Linked DNA regions of Mytilus edulis. The protein of the gene in region 1 interacts with the protein of each later gene in a pairwise test. Links are inferred from orthologs where the notes say so. Each region holds a gene or a part of one and is shown in the gene's direction. Other genes may lie near its edges.

Region 1 (8,105 bases):
TAGAGTTCGCGATTACATACCCTCTGGGCGTACTGTATATATGAAATGGACCCTTCCAAGACACAATGTCAGTACTGTATATGGAGGTAACACAAGATAACCACAAACAATTTGGAACTTTCTTGTTACACATGTTATAATCATGATAATTACATACATCATGTACATGAAGGTTGTTTTTTTGTCTATTTGGACATCAAAAGCGAAACCAAATTCCCAGTCTTTCATATTGGAAGTGCTACTGGTACATTGTACTTCCTGGATGGTATACTGTTCCGAGTGCGAGAATTTCTTGTTGCATTGAAGACCTGTTGGTGACCTTCTGCTGTTGTCTGCTCTATGGTCGGGTACTTATAAAGTGAGAAACGGAATCGAAACGAAACAAAACGAAATATAACGAAACGAAACGAAATACAACGAAACGCAACGAAATACAACGAAACGAAACGAAACGAAATGTAAAAATGAAGAAACGAAACCCTCTTCAAAAGCATCAAATATATTGCCCCTCCCCAGCCCTTTTAGTTCAAAAGAAATTTTCCTCAATCATAATACAAATACTTCAAAATAAAACTATTATATAGAAAAGATATTTTCAAATTCAATTATACAAATGTCATGTATAAAGAAGTCTTTTCAACGACCCTGTAATTGGGCAGGTCCATGATTTCAATACGGGTGGTGTAAAAGGGATTGAATTTGCCGTGCAGAAAGAGTCACGAACACAAAACTTTAAATGGTGACGCCCCTCACAAGAAAAAATGATCTCCCCTTTCTCAAGTTTCTCGGATTTACCGAGTTTAATAATGCTATGTAAGTACTTATATTCGAAAAAAAATATTAGGATAGGAACTTGTTTTTCCCCAATAGTACCGACCGTGCAAGGGCTTTATAGCCAGTCAAGGTCGTTAAAAACTCCCGTAGTACCCAATAGTTCTCCGTTTCTGATATAAAGGCCAAAAGATTTTTTTCAACGGCTTTTTATAATATAGTTCGTTCCTATATTGGACGGTCTTCAACAATGAGCAAAGCCCGTACCGCGTAGTCAGCTATAAAATGCCCCGAAATGACAAATGTAAAACCATTCAAACGAGAAAACTAACGGCCTAATTAATGTACAAAAAATTAACGAAAAAAAAAAACAAATATGTAACACAGCAACAAACGGCAACCACTGAATTACAGGCTCCTGACTTGGGACAGGCACATACATATACACATACATGCATACTGTGGCGGGGTAAACATGTATTGAAATATTTTGCCATTATGGTCTATAAAGATATCAGATATCAGCTGGTTAGCTACTAAAAATTGCAATGACTCAACATCAAAATGTTTTTAAGTTCTGTTTCCTTAACTACTAACACTGTCGAAATAAATTTTAAAATGTACATGTATAAGGGTACTTACATTTTCTTTTCCTTCTCATTGGGCTCCATTTTGCGTAATAACGGTTGAATAAAAAATATTCCTTTTATATATACCTGGCTGGAGCCCGTGCAACATCTGGTGCTGAATGCGTTTTAGAAAACTTCAAAGACCTTTGATTTTTTTTCTCACGCTCACAACTTACCCATATATAAACTCAGGCATGATAAAGGGAGCCGACAGGATGAAAGACAATGCCTTTAAAAAGTATTTTTGGAACATCAAAGTGTTATATTGTACGTCAGAACGGGTAGCACGTCCACACGGGGTTGTAGAAAAGTATGCAGTCTTTCAATAAACAATAAATTAATTTACAATCCTCAATTAAGAGATCAAAGGAGTTTTTCTTTTCATCTTACATACTGTTTTAGCGTGGTTGTAACAATGATAACTACATCAACAGCACCACACAATTGCATAACATAAGGGTCAGATTCATTTCGTTGTATTTCGTTTCTTCATTTTTTCATTTCGTTTCGTTTCGTTATATTTCGTTTTGTTTCGTTGTATTTCGTTGCGTTTCGTTGTAATTCGTTTCGTTTCGTTATATTTCGTTTCGTTTCGTTTCGATTCCGTTTCTCACTTTATAAGTACCCTCTATGGTCGGGTTGTTGTCTCTTTGGCACATTCCCCATTTCCATTCTCAATTTTATGTTATTTGCTCGTCCAAATTAATATGACATCTTGAAAGGTTATCATATTTTTTGGCTGTTACATATATGGGCTATTTCAAAAAAAATGATGCCAAAGTGTGACAAACATGGTAAAAAATTAAGTCATTGCTAATCTTTTTTCTATCATTTTTCTTTAATCCAGAGACATTCAAGTTTACAAAACTACCAAGGGTTAATGCAAAATAATAAAAACAAAAATTTTAACAACATTTTACTCATAAGAATTCATCCACTTTTCAAAGGAAACAACATAATAATAATATCAACTGACAAACATAAATAAGAATCTAAATATCAATGTAATTTTTTTGTTTGTTGCAATAAAGGTTCTAAATGATTTTCCTGCAATTTTTTTTTACTTATAAACAGTTTTTTTTTTTTAAATATGTAAATTTCACCAATTTTTAGTGTATTCTTTAATATCTTATTTCAAAAGTTTTTATATCTCTTTGCAAAAGCTTTAATTTTATATAAAAAGTATAAGGAAGCAAACATATATGATCTAATTACATCCTCTGAAAATTTCACAACAATTGCTTCAGTCAATTCTAAGTTTTCTTCATTTAAAAAATACAAACATGTGTTTGTTATCCTTTTGTTACACTCCTGACATATTTTTTCAGTAACTGTAAGACTGTTTTTTAATGGAATGTTTAGAAAATCAGTAATGATATCTATTTTAAATTTACAATCTCACAAATAAATAAATTTATTAGATATTTGATTACATATTTTTTTAATTTCTGAGCAAAGAGCAAACTTTTAACATGTTTAATGAGAATTACACTTTAATTTTTAAGAATCTTTGGTGAATAGTGTGCAGAAAAATCACTTTTACAAGACAGATCAGCTTTCTCATAACATTGTAAAGATGTTACAATTATTTTAATAAAGAATCATGTTGAATTTTGTTATAGATAAGCTACATCAGAAACTTGTCAGGAGTGTAACAAATGTTACACTCCTGACCATAATTTATTTCTACCATATTTTAACCTGAAACTGACCTGAAATCATGTAGAGTCTTTATATTTCACATATTATTTTAGTGCAAATTAAGAACAGGTTAAAGAAAATTATATACTTCTTACATATTTACAAATTTTGCTAATTGTCTATTTAAAAAAAAAGATGGCTTTCCTTTAAACCTTGTTCAGTCTCTTGTTTGATACTATATATATGCTGTTTTTATGTCAGATAATGTATTATGATAAGTTTGTTCGTTCTTCCAAAGATGGTAGCAGTATGTGCTCTGTATATTAAAAATTGTCCAAAAATGTACCCAAAAATGTCAGGAGTGTAACGCTTTAAAATGTTTAAGTGTAACATTCATGTTATTTTTTATAGAAACAATGTTGTTATTATTGGTTTTCCTTTCTGGAATTTGAGTGTGAACACCATCTGTTGCATATTTTCAGTAACAAACATGCCATTATTATGGCCTTTATTGCTTGTTTATGCTCAATACTTGTATGTCAGGACTGTAACACACTTAAACAAGCTAGTTCAATTGCAATTTTAGTTCAAAAATTTCAAAAGTAATGATGTAGACTTGTATTCTGTGTTAAGCTGAGGTGTAGTAATGTCATTTTATAATAATTGTCAGCTTGTTTTTCTTCCAATAACTTACCTTTGCTAATAAGATTGAAATAAGGCATTTTTTTGTGTTACACTCCTGACATTGAAGTATTGAGCATACAAAAGCAATGAAGGTCATAATAATGGCATGTTTGTTACTGATAAACTGTAACAGGTAATGTTCACTGAAAAACAAGAAAAAACAACAACTATAACAACATTGTTTCTAAAAAAAATACATCTTAACCCAGTTGTTACACTCCTGACAGACCTGGGTAGTCCTCTTATTGTAACCATAATATTCCAGTAGTAGAACTTCAGGGTCAACTGGATGCACCTGTGCCAAGCTATGATACTTACCTAAAAGAATAAACCGTGCAAGATGTACAGAAACATGTTATTTCACCTACAAAGACATTTTCTGGCAGCATATTGACTTTTACTAACATTTTTTTTTAAACACAAACTTATTTGACTTACCTTATGAGGCACATAAAAATGTAAATATATGGAAGAATTAAACAAGAAATCATAGTAAAGATATAATAGTTGGATGAAAGATATTGTTTGGTATTGTATCTGCCCTTATTTATTCTATATCATCAATGAATGCACATGCTTTCTTCTAAATGTCACACTAAAAGCGTTACACTCCTGACATTTTGAGGTACAATTTTGGACAATATTTTTTAAACAGAGCACATACTGCTATTATCTTTGGTAGTTAGGACCAACTAATCATAATACATTATCTGACCTAAAAACATTACAGATATAGTATCATACAAGAGACTGACAAAGGTTTAAAGGAAAGGCATCATTTTTTTTGAAATAGCCCATATATGTATATCCTAGCTAACTCTAAAGATTATATTTAGAGGGGGGATAAGAACACCCCCCCCCCCCCCCCTCCCCCCAAATAAGACCCCCTTACACATATTTTTTACTCAATGTTTACTACAAACTTTAGAAATGTGTTACTATTTTGAAAACTTACACTTGGAACTATAAGATCCAAGAACAAATGGAAGGGAACAAAAAGCCAAATACCAGAACATTGTGTATGTCTATACTAAGATGTATGTCACTATGTTCTATATTTATAAAAGAGGGTCTTGCCGGAACTTAATCTAAAATTATGATGTCATATACAAATTATGTATTGCAGCACCGGAGACGTTTTTTTATCGAAAATATATAACTTTTTTGATAAATTTAGTCAAGTGAGGTAACGAAAAAGCAAGTATTAAATTACTGCTAATAACACTTATCCTTGAATCATACACAACTAGAAATTTTATTTCGAAAATTTGCTGAAACAAGGATTAATTATTTTTCATTAATTTAGCTTTTAAACCAAGGGGAGATAACACATAACTGTCACGTCAGGCGATCGGCGATCACACCAGTGACAATGTCTGTCCACGATTCATTAACTCTGTATGTATTTGTTAGTCGTTAAAGAAAACGAATGTCAACCTATGCATTAATTGTAAAATATCATAGAGCTCATAAAAACCGGGAAAATTGCTTTTCGAAAATACAGTCAATAAGTCATGATCTTCAGACAAGTCAAGTCGGCATCAAACCGTCATGACTGTCATTCAGAGGTATCCGGTCGTTCCGGTCCCAAACCGATTCGGCCCCAAGTCGATCCGGCCCACGTCGATCCGGTCCCATGTCGATCCGGCCCCTTAATAAAATATGAATAAACTATATTGTTTTTGGAGGAATTTGTGACAAATTTTAATAGTATAAATTTTTAAATGGAATTTGATTTTTATTTTATTTAGATCACACACAGAATAGCTAAATAAATATTTACAGTCCAATGGAACCTTTAAAATTTCACATCATAATGACTTCAAATCATTAGTCTATAAAATTGAGAATGGAAATGGGGAATGTGTCAAAGAGACAACAACCCGACCAAATAAAAAACAACAGCAGAGGGTCACCAACAGGTCTTCAATGTAGCGAGAAATTCCTGCACCCGGAGGTGTCCTTCAGCTGGCCCCTAAACAAATATACTAGTCTAGTGATAATGAACGCCATACTAATTTCCAAATTGTACACAAGAAACTAAAATTAAAATAATACAAGACTAACAAAGGCCAGAGGCTCCTGACTTGGGACAGGCGCAAAAATGCGGCGGGGTTAAACATGTTTGTGAGATCTCAACCCTTCCCCTATACCTCTAACCAATGTAGAAAAGTAAACGTATAACAATACGCACATTAAAATTCAGTTCAAGAGAAGTCCGAGTCTGATGTCAGAAGATGTAACCAAAGACAATAAACAAAATGACAATAATACATAAATAACAACAGACTACTAGCAGTTAACTGACATGCCAGCTCCAGACTTTAATTAAACTGACTGAAAGATTATGATTTCATCATATGAACATCAGGCACAATCCTTCCCGTTAGGGGTTTAGTATCATACCATCATAACATATATGAGAAGAACATAACCCGTGTCATGCCAACAACTGTTTTTAGAATAAATGTGTTTAGTTCCGATGCAAAGACCTTATCAGTGACTCAATATTAACGCCAACATATGCAATCTTTAATGACTTGACAACAGTATCGTAATTATATCCCTTCTTAATAAGTCTATTCAAAGGTTTTGTAAGTTTCTGAGGTGAATACTGACACCTTTGTGCTTTATAAAGAATATTACCATAAAAAATTGGATGTGAAATACCTGAACGTATTAGAAGTCTGCATGTTGAGCTATATTTACGAATGATGTCTTTATACCGATGATAAAATTTAGTAAATGTTTTGACTAGTTTGTGATATCGAAAACCCTGGTGTAATAATTTTTCAGTAATACATAAATTTCTCTCATTAAAATCTAAAACATTGTTACATACACGAGCGAATCGTACAAGTTGAGATATAAAAACACCGTAAGATGGTGACAAGGGAACGTCACCATCTAAAAACGGATAATTAACGATAGGAAATGAAAAATCATCCCTTTTATCATAAATTTTAGTATTCAGCTTTCCATTAGTGATATAGATATCAAGATCATGAAGATCGAGAAAAGGGCTGTGGTCATTGTTAGTATTAGCTTTATTTAAAGTAAGTTCAACAGGATAAATTTCATTAATATACATACTGAAGTCGTCATTATTGAGAGCCAAAATATCATCCAAATATCTAAAAGTATTATTAAATTTGTTTATCAGATGTTGTTTCGATGGGTCTATAACTGGTTTGTTTATTCAACAACTGTCTGATGATTGTGAACTAAGGTGATGCCACTCGTAATCACTTAATTCAATCAAATCCTGATTAATTAAAGTTACGTAATCAACAAGGTCTTTATAGTTTGATCTTTTGTTTGGTGTATATAATAATAATTAATTGTATTTTTTTTTTTCATTTAACATCAGAGGCTTCTATAACACTTGGGTTTTTTTTTGTTTTTTTTTGTACTGTGGAATATATCTGGCAATATATATTTTTCTGCAAGTTGACAATATTTTGAATAGTTGTGGGTAGATAAAAAAAAACATGTTATATGAGTATCCATTAGGTCCGAGACCACAATTATTTCGTAGTGCATTTCTTTTACAACATAAATGAAAATTTAAAAAATCCCACCTGCGCTTTCTCAAAGAAACTTTTACAGTGTGTTGTACTACTTTTGGGACAAATTATATCAAAATTATAGAAAACTTCATCGCCTCTAACTCAAAATATGGACAATTTTATCTTTAGGGCGTCTTGAAATGATCTTTTGACAGCTTCCGAAGTGCTATTTTTCAACCTTTTTCACCTGGACCAAATCACTACTTTCCTTTAAAATTCTGGACCCAAATTTGTTCATGTTGTTTACAGTGTAATTTCACCCCCCTACTTGCAATATGAGGCATTAAAACATGGAGAAATAAATTTGGAAGGGGTATAAACATGATAAAAATTAATGGCAAGTAACCCACTGTCAACACTAGGGACTATATTTGTGAACAACGAAAATCAAGGGACGACAATTGTGGTCTCGGACCATTATTCTTTATTGCAAGAAAAGGTTTCAAATTGTTGGGGTTATTCATCGTTTCTGTCAATTTTTGGATAAACATCAAAATTAAACTATGACTCATGGTTCTGTATTAGTCAATCACATAATTGTTTATAATGTAAGGTATAATAATCTACATTGAAACTTAAATAAAATTTAAAAGTCTAGTGGTTAAGACCGATGGCTACAGTACTGAAGGTCCCGAGTTCGATTCTCACTCGAGATGTGGAATTTTCAGTACATCACAAGGCCGTAACTACCATTGAGGCAAGTGAGGCAATTGCCTCACTAAAATTTCGACACTAAAATATTTTTTTGTATATGTGTTTATTTGTTTATGGTAATTAAATTCGGAACATAGTCTAGTCTTCTGTTGTTCTG
Region 2 (7,460 bases), about 53 Mb from region 1:
ATCTGTAAAGGTGGTCGTGTGGTCTAGCACACCGGATACAGTGCAGGCGATTTGGTGTCACGATATCTCTATAGCATGGGTTTCGAATCCCGGCGAGGAAAGAACAAAGAAAAATTTGCGAAAGCAAATTTACAGATCTAACATTGTTGGGTTGATGTTTAGATGAGTTGTATATACATAATGTACACAGCCATGTATCACCATCATTGCTGGTGATCTGATGGATAAATCTATTGTAGAGTTGTCACTGACTCAGACGTACTTATATATATATATACAAGTCTAAATTGAAAACTACGTTCAAACCTATGATTGCGTTGGATAAAAACCACAATTTTTATACATGTGCATGTAAAACAAATTTCGTTGTAGAAGGGTCTAAATACAGCACAAACAACATTTTCCAAAAGACCAAACTAGAGGCTCTCAAGAGCCTGTGTCGCTCACCTTGGTCTTTGTGCATATTAAACAATGGACACAGATAAATTCACGACAAAATTGTGTTTTGGTGATGGTGACGTGTATGTAGATCTTACTGTACTGAACATTCTTGTTGCTACAATTATCTCTATTTATACTGATCTTGGCCCAGTAGTTACAGTGGAAAATATTTTTTTTAAATTTACCAAAATTATGAAAAATGTTAAAAATTGACTATAAAGGGCAATAACTCCTTAAGGGGTCAATTGAAAATTTTGGTCATGTTGTCTTACTTGTAGATCTTATTTTGCTGAACATTATTGCTGTTTACAGTTTATCTCTATATAAATATATAAATATTCAAGATAATAACCAAAAACGGCAAAATTTCCTTAAAATTACCAATTCAGGCATGTCAGGGGCAGCAACCCAACAAAGGGTTCATCTGAAAATTTCATGGCAGATAGATCTTTACCTGATAAACAATTTTAACCATTGTCAGATTTGCTCTAAATGCTTTGGTTTTTGAGTTTTAAGCCAAAAACTGCATTTTACACCTATGTTCTATTTTTAACCATGGCAGCCATCTTGGTTGATTGGCCGGGTCACCGGACACATTTTTAAACTAAATACCCTAATGATGATTGTGGCCAAGTTTGGAATAATTTGGCCCAGTAGTTTCAGCGGAAAAGATTTTTGTAAAAGATTACTAAGTTTTACGAAAAATGGTTAAAAATTGACTACAAAGGGCAATAACTCCTAAAGGGGTCAACTGGCCATGTTGATCATGTTGACTTATATATAAATCTTACTTTGCTGAACATTATTGCTGTTTACAGTTTATCTCTATCTATAATAGTATTCAAGATAATAACCAAAAACAGCAAAATTTCCTTAAAATTACAAATTCAGAGGCAGCAACCCAACAACAGTTTGTCTGATTCATCTGAAAATTTCAGGGCAGATAGATCTTGCTTGACCAGATAAACATTATACCCCCATGTCAGATTTGCTCTAAATGCTTTGGTTTTTCAGTTATAAGCCAAAAACTGCATTTTACCCCTATGTTCTATTTTTAGCCATGGCGGCCATCTTGGTTGGTTAGGCCAGGTGAGCTAAAAAGTGAAAAAGTATATTTAAACAAAACGCATTTGACTAACAGGTCGAACAACTGATGTTCTTTAACCCTGCTGACTGCCATTGGCGATTGCCAAATAAAATTGATCACGAGATGTACATGATGTAACAAAATGGATCTTAATAATATAAATTTAATACTAAACTGAAAACAATAAACTTGTGGCCAAGATGTTGTGCCACAAACACAAGGTGTCAATATTTTTTTTGTACACCAGATCTAGATTTCGATAATATATGTCTCTTCAGTGATGTTAGGGATCAAAACGGTATTTGGAAGGTCATATAATTTACCCTCAATTTTAGATAGACTCTTGAATTTTAAGAGTCAATATAGGAAGAACGGATCATATAAACCGGAGGGAAAATATGATACAAGCCCAAACGAAAAAATATAAACGTTGGATAAAAACCGCATTTTTTATGCGTGTGCATGTAAAACAAATTTCGTTGTCGAAGGGTCTAAATACAGCACAAACAACATTTTCCAAAAGACCAAAAAAGTGAAAAAGTATATATATATATATATATATATATATTATATATGTAAAATTTGTAAGTAAAATAAAGAGTTGTGTCAGAGTTGTCAAGGTCTTTTCATAATTTTTTCCACATTATAGAAATTCAAATCTCAGGGTATATTCAATTGTAGCCATAAAATAAAAAAATAAAACATCTTTATAGACTGTACTAAAAAAGCTTTATTTATATTTTTTCTGTAATTATTGCACGAGTTGTATCTTTCTCAGATTTGTTTTATTCCAATCTGTGTGGCTTCTTTATCAATGGGCATATCAGTGTTTCATAGATTTCAAAACCTTCTATTTACTCGCTAGTAATAACTACCAACTGAATTCTGTTTTAAATATTTTGCATAACAGGGGAGATAACTTTCCTGTAAAATCTTTTTGCAGTGGATTTAGAGTTTTTGATAACTTATGATTTTATCTTTCTCATAACTTACTCTGTATTTGTTAAGAATATAGGAGTTATTGTGATCAAATGTGCTTTTAAAAACTTATAGAAGAGCTTAGAACCAGAAGTGCCTCTGGTATATTTTAAAGAATATAAAATAAAGTGTTCAACACTTGCACAAATATTATAAGTTACTTTGTTTTGTCAATCATCAAGAATAAAAAAAATCTTTGTAATTATACTACTGAGGGGCCTGATGGTCTCTGTAAAGCAAAATATTGTCCTATGAAATATTGTACCACAAGACAATATTTCACGACTATGTATCATGAAATATTGTCCTCTCCATAGAAAAAATGTCCTGAGAAGGAAATTGTGTCTGTATATAAACAATATTTCACAGATGAATACTTTGGAATTTTGTCTTGTTAAAGGGAGGTTATATTTTGTGTGAATTAAGACAATATTTCATAGATGAATACTATGAAATTGTGTTCTGTTAAAGGGAGGTTATATTTTGGTTATATTTCGTGAGTATTGAGACAATATTTCATAAACAGATTGTCATGGAATTTTGTCTCATGAAGGGGAGGTTATCAACATATATTCATGTATATAGGATTTTTTTCTGCAACATCTGCATGTGCCTGTGTATATATTTACAAAATAAGCAATTGTCAGTACATTACTTATATTTGTACAGTATAATGTAATAAAATGAAACCTACTTTAGACAATTGTTTAATCTATAATAAACCATTTGTAATCATGGTAATGTTTCAATGCAAATTTGAAACTCACTATTAGTCAGTTAGTAATAATATAAATTCTCTACTATATGTTGTTGTTGTTGTTGTTATACAAAACAATTTCAGTTATAAATCTAAAAATGTGCATGCTGCATGCTTGTGTACTGATTCTAATTGTGAAATAATTTGATTAAAAAATGTTTTCAAAGCCAGTATTTCATAGTGAACAGGTGAAGTATTGTCATGAACAGAATTTCATAGTGGAATATTGTCCAGAAGGAGGTGACAAAATTTCATGGACAAGGACACTATTTCATTATGAAATACTGTCAGACAATATTTTATATGAAAATTTGTCCGACAGACAATATTTCATGGAGGACAATATTTTATGTTACATCTCATCACCATTCTCAGAAAATAAATTTCCATCATCATGTATCACGAAAATATATTAAAAAAAATCTGTAGAAAAACTGATCATGATAGCAAAAATGCACCTATCACTAAGAATGACAATGACCCATCAGGCCCCTCACTACTCCTTGTGGTATATTATGTTGATAATAACATGATTTACTTTCATTTCTGATTTTCATTGTACACACTGCTCTCTTTTTATATATCTCAAAGACTTAACCTGACAACATGTACCTATTATAAACATGACATGATCCAGATTTCACATTTTAAGTTTATTTTAAAACAATATTCAAACAAACCTTGATTTTATACAACTTGATGTCTCTTTGCCTTTTCTTCTATCTTTAGGGCAGTATTTTGTTTCTACTTCATCTAACAAATCATCTATATCATCAGCCATTTTATATTTTAGAAATTAAAATAAGATGAACAAGAAAAATGTGCTACTTAGCTGTCACTACCAAACATTTTTCTCTGTACTTCCTGTGCTTACTGATTTAAATTGCTTTTGCTACTTTTTACCTTCAAAGAATTAAAAAAAGGTAACAGATAATATAAGGGTGAACTTGATTTACAAACATATGATTTTTTTTATCTGGAATCGACCTGTTGTCACAACTTTTTAAATCCACTTGAGTTTTTAAATTGTAATATTTTCATTTATACAAACTGTTTAATAGTAATATTTTTTCAGAAATAAAGCATAAAGGAATTGAATAATTCATTGGATTATTAATTTATTTATTCTGGTTGTAAATTCGTTTTGTTCGTAATTTTTGTATATTTTACAAATGAGTAATGAGCGCATGCGTATACCACGAAACCAGTCTGGCAGATGTGACTTTTATATTTCATTGCATATATTTGTTTAATTCTGCACCTTAAAGTCAAATCGTTATGGCAAAGCAAGTGCTGAGATTAGACCCAGACATTGAACTCAAATTTAAAGGTAATCGCTCAACAGTTCGCTGACTTCATAATGAAAATACAATTGTATGACCCAATAACCGGCCGATGTGGCGATACCACCCTATCCAATACAACTAATTTAATAGTTTTATTAACTTAATACCAATCTAAAGCAATTAATATCTAACGCGTTCTCGATATATAAAAATTATCTTGAAAATGATTGTGTTCTTAAAATATATCTCAACCTCATGACCATGTCAACAACTTATTTTTATTAACAAAATAAGAAAGTTCAGATAGAACAAACCTTAACACTATTTGGAAATCTGTCCCGCATTCAACTATTACTTTTCCATCGTAGCTCCTGATATTTTCTATCATAACATCAAAATTTATTGGAACTTTAATTTTGTGATGTCTAGTAGTGGCAGTCAAATAGCAATAAAAGAGGGACGAAAGATACCAGTGGGACAGTCAAACTCATAAATCCAAAATAAACTGACAACGCCATGGCTAAAAATGAAGAAAGACTATTAGAAAAACAATAGTACACATGACACAACATAGAAAACTAAAGAATAAGCAACACAAACCCGTAAAGTGTACAACAACTGTTTATCCTTATTTTCACTGTGGTGTGTCCTTTTACTAAATTTTGTGAGAATCTGTATGCTGATTGAAACTGTTTCAAAACATTAACATTTTTCACCTCTAGGCTCTTTTTCTTAAACCTAAATCATCTTAATACAGCCTTGTCTCATGCCAGGGTTTTCATGCTATTAAGAATGCAATGTTACATCACGATTTCAATTGAAAAATATGCAAAGTGCGAATTAATATGTCATATGAAAATACATGATCTGACCATACTGCCATTTTCCAAACAGCTGACAATAACATGAACAAGCTTAAGGGAGAAGGAAATTTCAGGGAACTGATAATATTTGGCCAGTTATGAGAAGACAAGAAGGTGACTCTTCACTATATTAAATCATCTACTAGTCATGCTGGTGTATTCTGCAGGAGTCTCTCTTGACACTGGGTGGTTGTTTGAATGTAATTTAAAATTACCAAGTTTAAATATTAATTTTCCCATATACTTTACTCATTTAAAATAATAGGTTGCAACTGTACATAAAATGCCGATAGTAATGTCACATGAAGTTTACGATAGAAGTAAGGATACCATTACAGGTTCAAACAGAAAAAAAATAAAATCAGAGAAAACTACACTTTATAAGCTGTATGACTTTATCATGTTTATCAGATGACAATATGAATACTAAAAATTAAGCGTAGGTACTTTAAATCAGTCAGGGATTCACTTTGTCACAGGTGTGTTCTAGATCTATCAAAAATATGCAACACCATGTACATCATCACTTTCTTAATGTACATATATCTCAAAATATTAATACATGATTTATACATTTATTATATTTTCCGATTAATGAAAATAAAAAATATTCTGACTGGATTACCCAATAATTTTATGGCAAGAGACCCTATTACTACTTTTTTGCAAAGTAAAACTTTCATGACTGTAAACTGCATTAATGATTGTTAATAAAAAATAATTTGCTCATTGAAAAGTTCAACATTATAAATTACACTTGAACACACATACATAAAGTTTTCATTATCTCTTTTTTCAACCCATTTCTTTTATTGTAGGACCATTCACAGATGTTGTAACATCAGAATTGAAGTTGACCAACCCCTCAGACCAGAAAGTATGTTTCAAAGTAAAAACCACAGCACCAAAGAGGTACTGTGTCAGACCAAACAGTGGCATCATCGATCCAAACCAAAGTGTTAATGTATCGGGTAAGAGCTACATATACCCTAAACAATCTGAACTGTGGTGCTAATCATATTAACTTTATATTACAGTCATGACAGTTGCTGTATTTATGTACCTTTACAATGCATATGATTTGAATATGAAGTTGATTGTGATTTGTATGGAGAGTTGTCTCATTGGCATTTGGCACTCATACCACATTATGATCTTCTTGTTTACATGTATAATGTATATATATAATATGGACTACACTAAACAATAACAGGATTTCTACAATCTAATCTTGTCCTAAAAAGTATGTACGCCATACCTGCCAACTGTCACTATTTGCGGGGGATTTCCCCCATGGAGGCTCCCAAATGGAAATTTTGAAAGAGCAATTTTGTCCACAATTTTAAACAAAACAATTAATTTTACAATGACTTTAGGCTTATAAAAGTATGAAGAAGCCAAAAAAACAACATTAAAATGTATCTGAAAGCCCCCTTGAAGGTTTTTTAGGACTATAACAGCCATCTTGCATGCAAAACCCCCATGGGCATTTTGAAAAGTTGGCAGGTATGATGTACGCTGATATTGTGGACATTCATTCTACATGTTCTATTAAATTATTCTCTGTGAATAAGCAAATTTAAAATGCATGGGATTTTTTTTGAATCTATGCAATATTTGAATAATCATTAAAATGAGATTCTCAAAATATGGACTAAATTGTGAAGAAGGGTAACATTTAACAACATGTTTGTAATTGAAGTATTTTGTACTTAATAACTTTGATATATTTCAGTAATGCTGCAACCTTTTGACTATGATCCATTGGAAAAAAATAAACACAAGTTTATGGTTCAGACTATGTTTGCTCCAGATGGCCCAATTGAAAGCCAGGAACAATTGGTATGTTTTGAGTTTGTACTCGTCCTAACAGAAATAGGAGGCTGATTATATATTTAAAAATTCAGTACTAGCATCATTATCACTAGTTTCTACAAACAAAACTAATTTGAAGATCTATATTGTTACCGTTACAGTAAAAAAAGACTGAGAATTTTAACATCAGAAATATCACCAGCAGCTGTATTTTGTTGCCAGATGAAATAAAA

What was found. The genes of interacting proteins can lie anywhere in the genome.
Region 2: the proteins of phosphatidylinositol-3-phosphatase SAC1-like (region 1) and vesicle-associated membrane protein-associated protein A-like interact in a two-hybrid assay, tested with the Drosophila melanogaster proteins (2 studies listed by BioGRID). The link is inferred for Mytilus edulis from reciprocal best matches to the Drosophila melanogaster genes Sac1 and Vap33.

Annotation. Positions count from the first base shown.
Region 1 is NC_092348.1:14,407,209-14,415,313, reverse strand, and holds the start of phosphatidylinositol-3-phosphatase SAC1-like, read left to right. Parts: upstream 1-5,042; 5' UTR 5,043-5,097; coding exon 5,098-5,123; intron 5,124-8,105. Other genes in the region: uncharacterized protein, read right to left, coding at 4,681-4,741. UniProt on the Drosophila melanogaster protein: Phosphoinositide phosphatase which catalyzes the hydrolysis of phosphatidylinositol 3-phosphate (PtdIns(3)P) and phosphatidylinositol 4-phosphate (PtdIns(4)P). Has low activity towards phosphatidylinositol-3,5-bisphosphate (PtdIns(3,5)P2).
Region 2 is NC_092348.1:66,991,187-66,998,646, forward strand, and holds the start of vesicle-associated membrane protein-associated protein A-like, read left to right. Parts: upstream 1-4,427; 5' UTR 4,428-4,541; coding exon 4,542-4,593; intron 4,594-6,230; coding exon 6,231-6,383; intron 6,384-7,147; coding exon 7,148-7,254; intron 7,255-7,460. Other genes in the region: cilia- and flagella-associated protein 418-like, read right to left, coding at 3,944-4,044.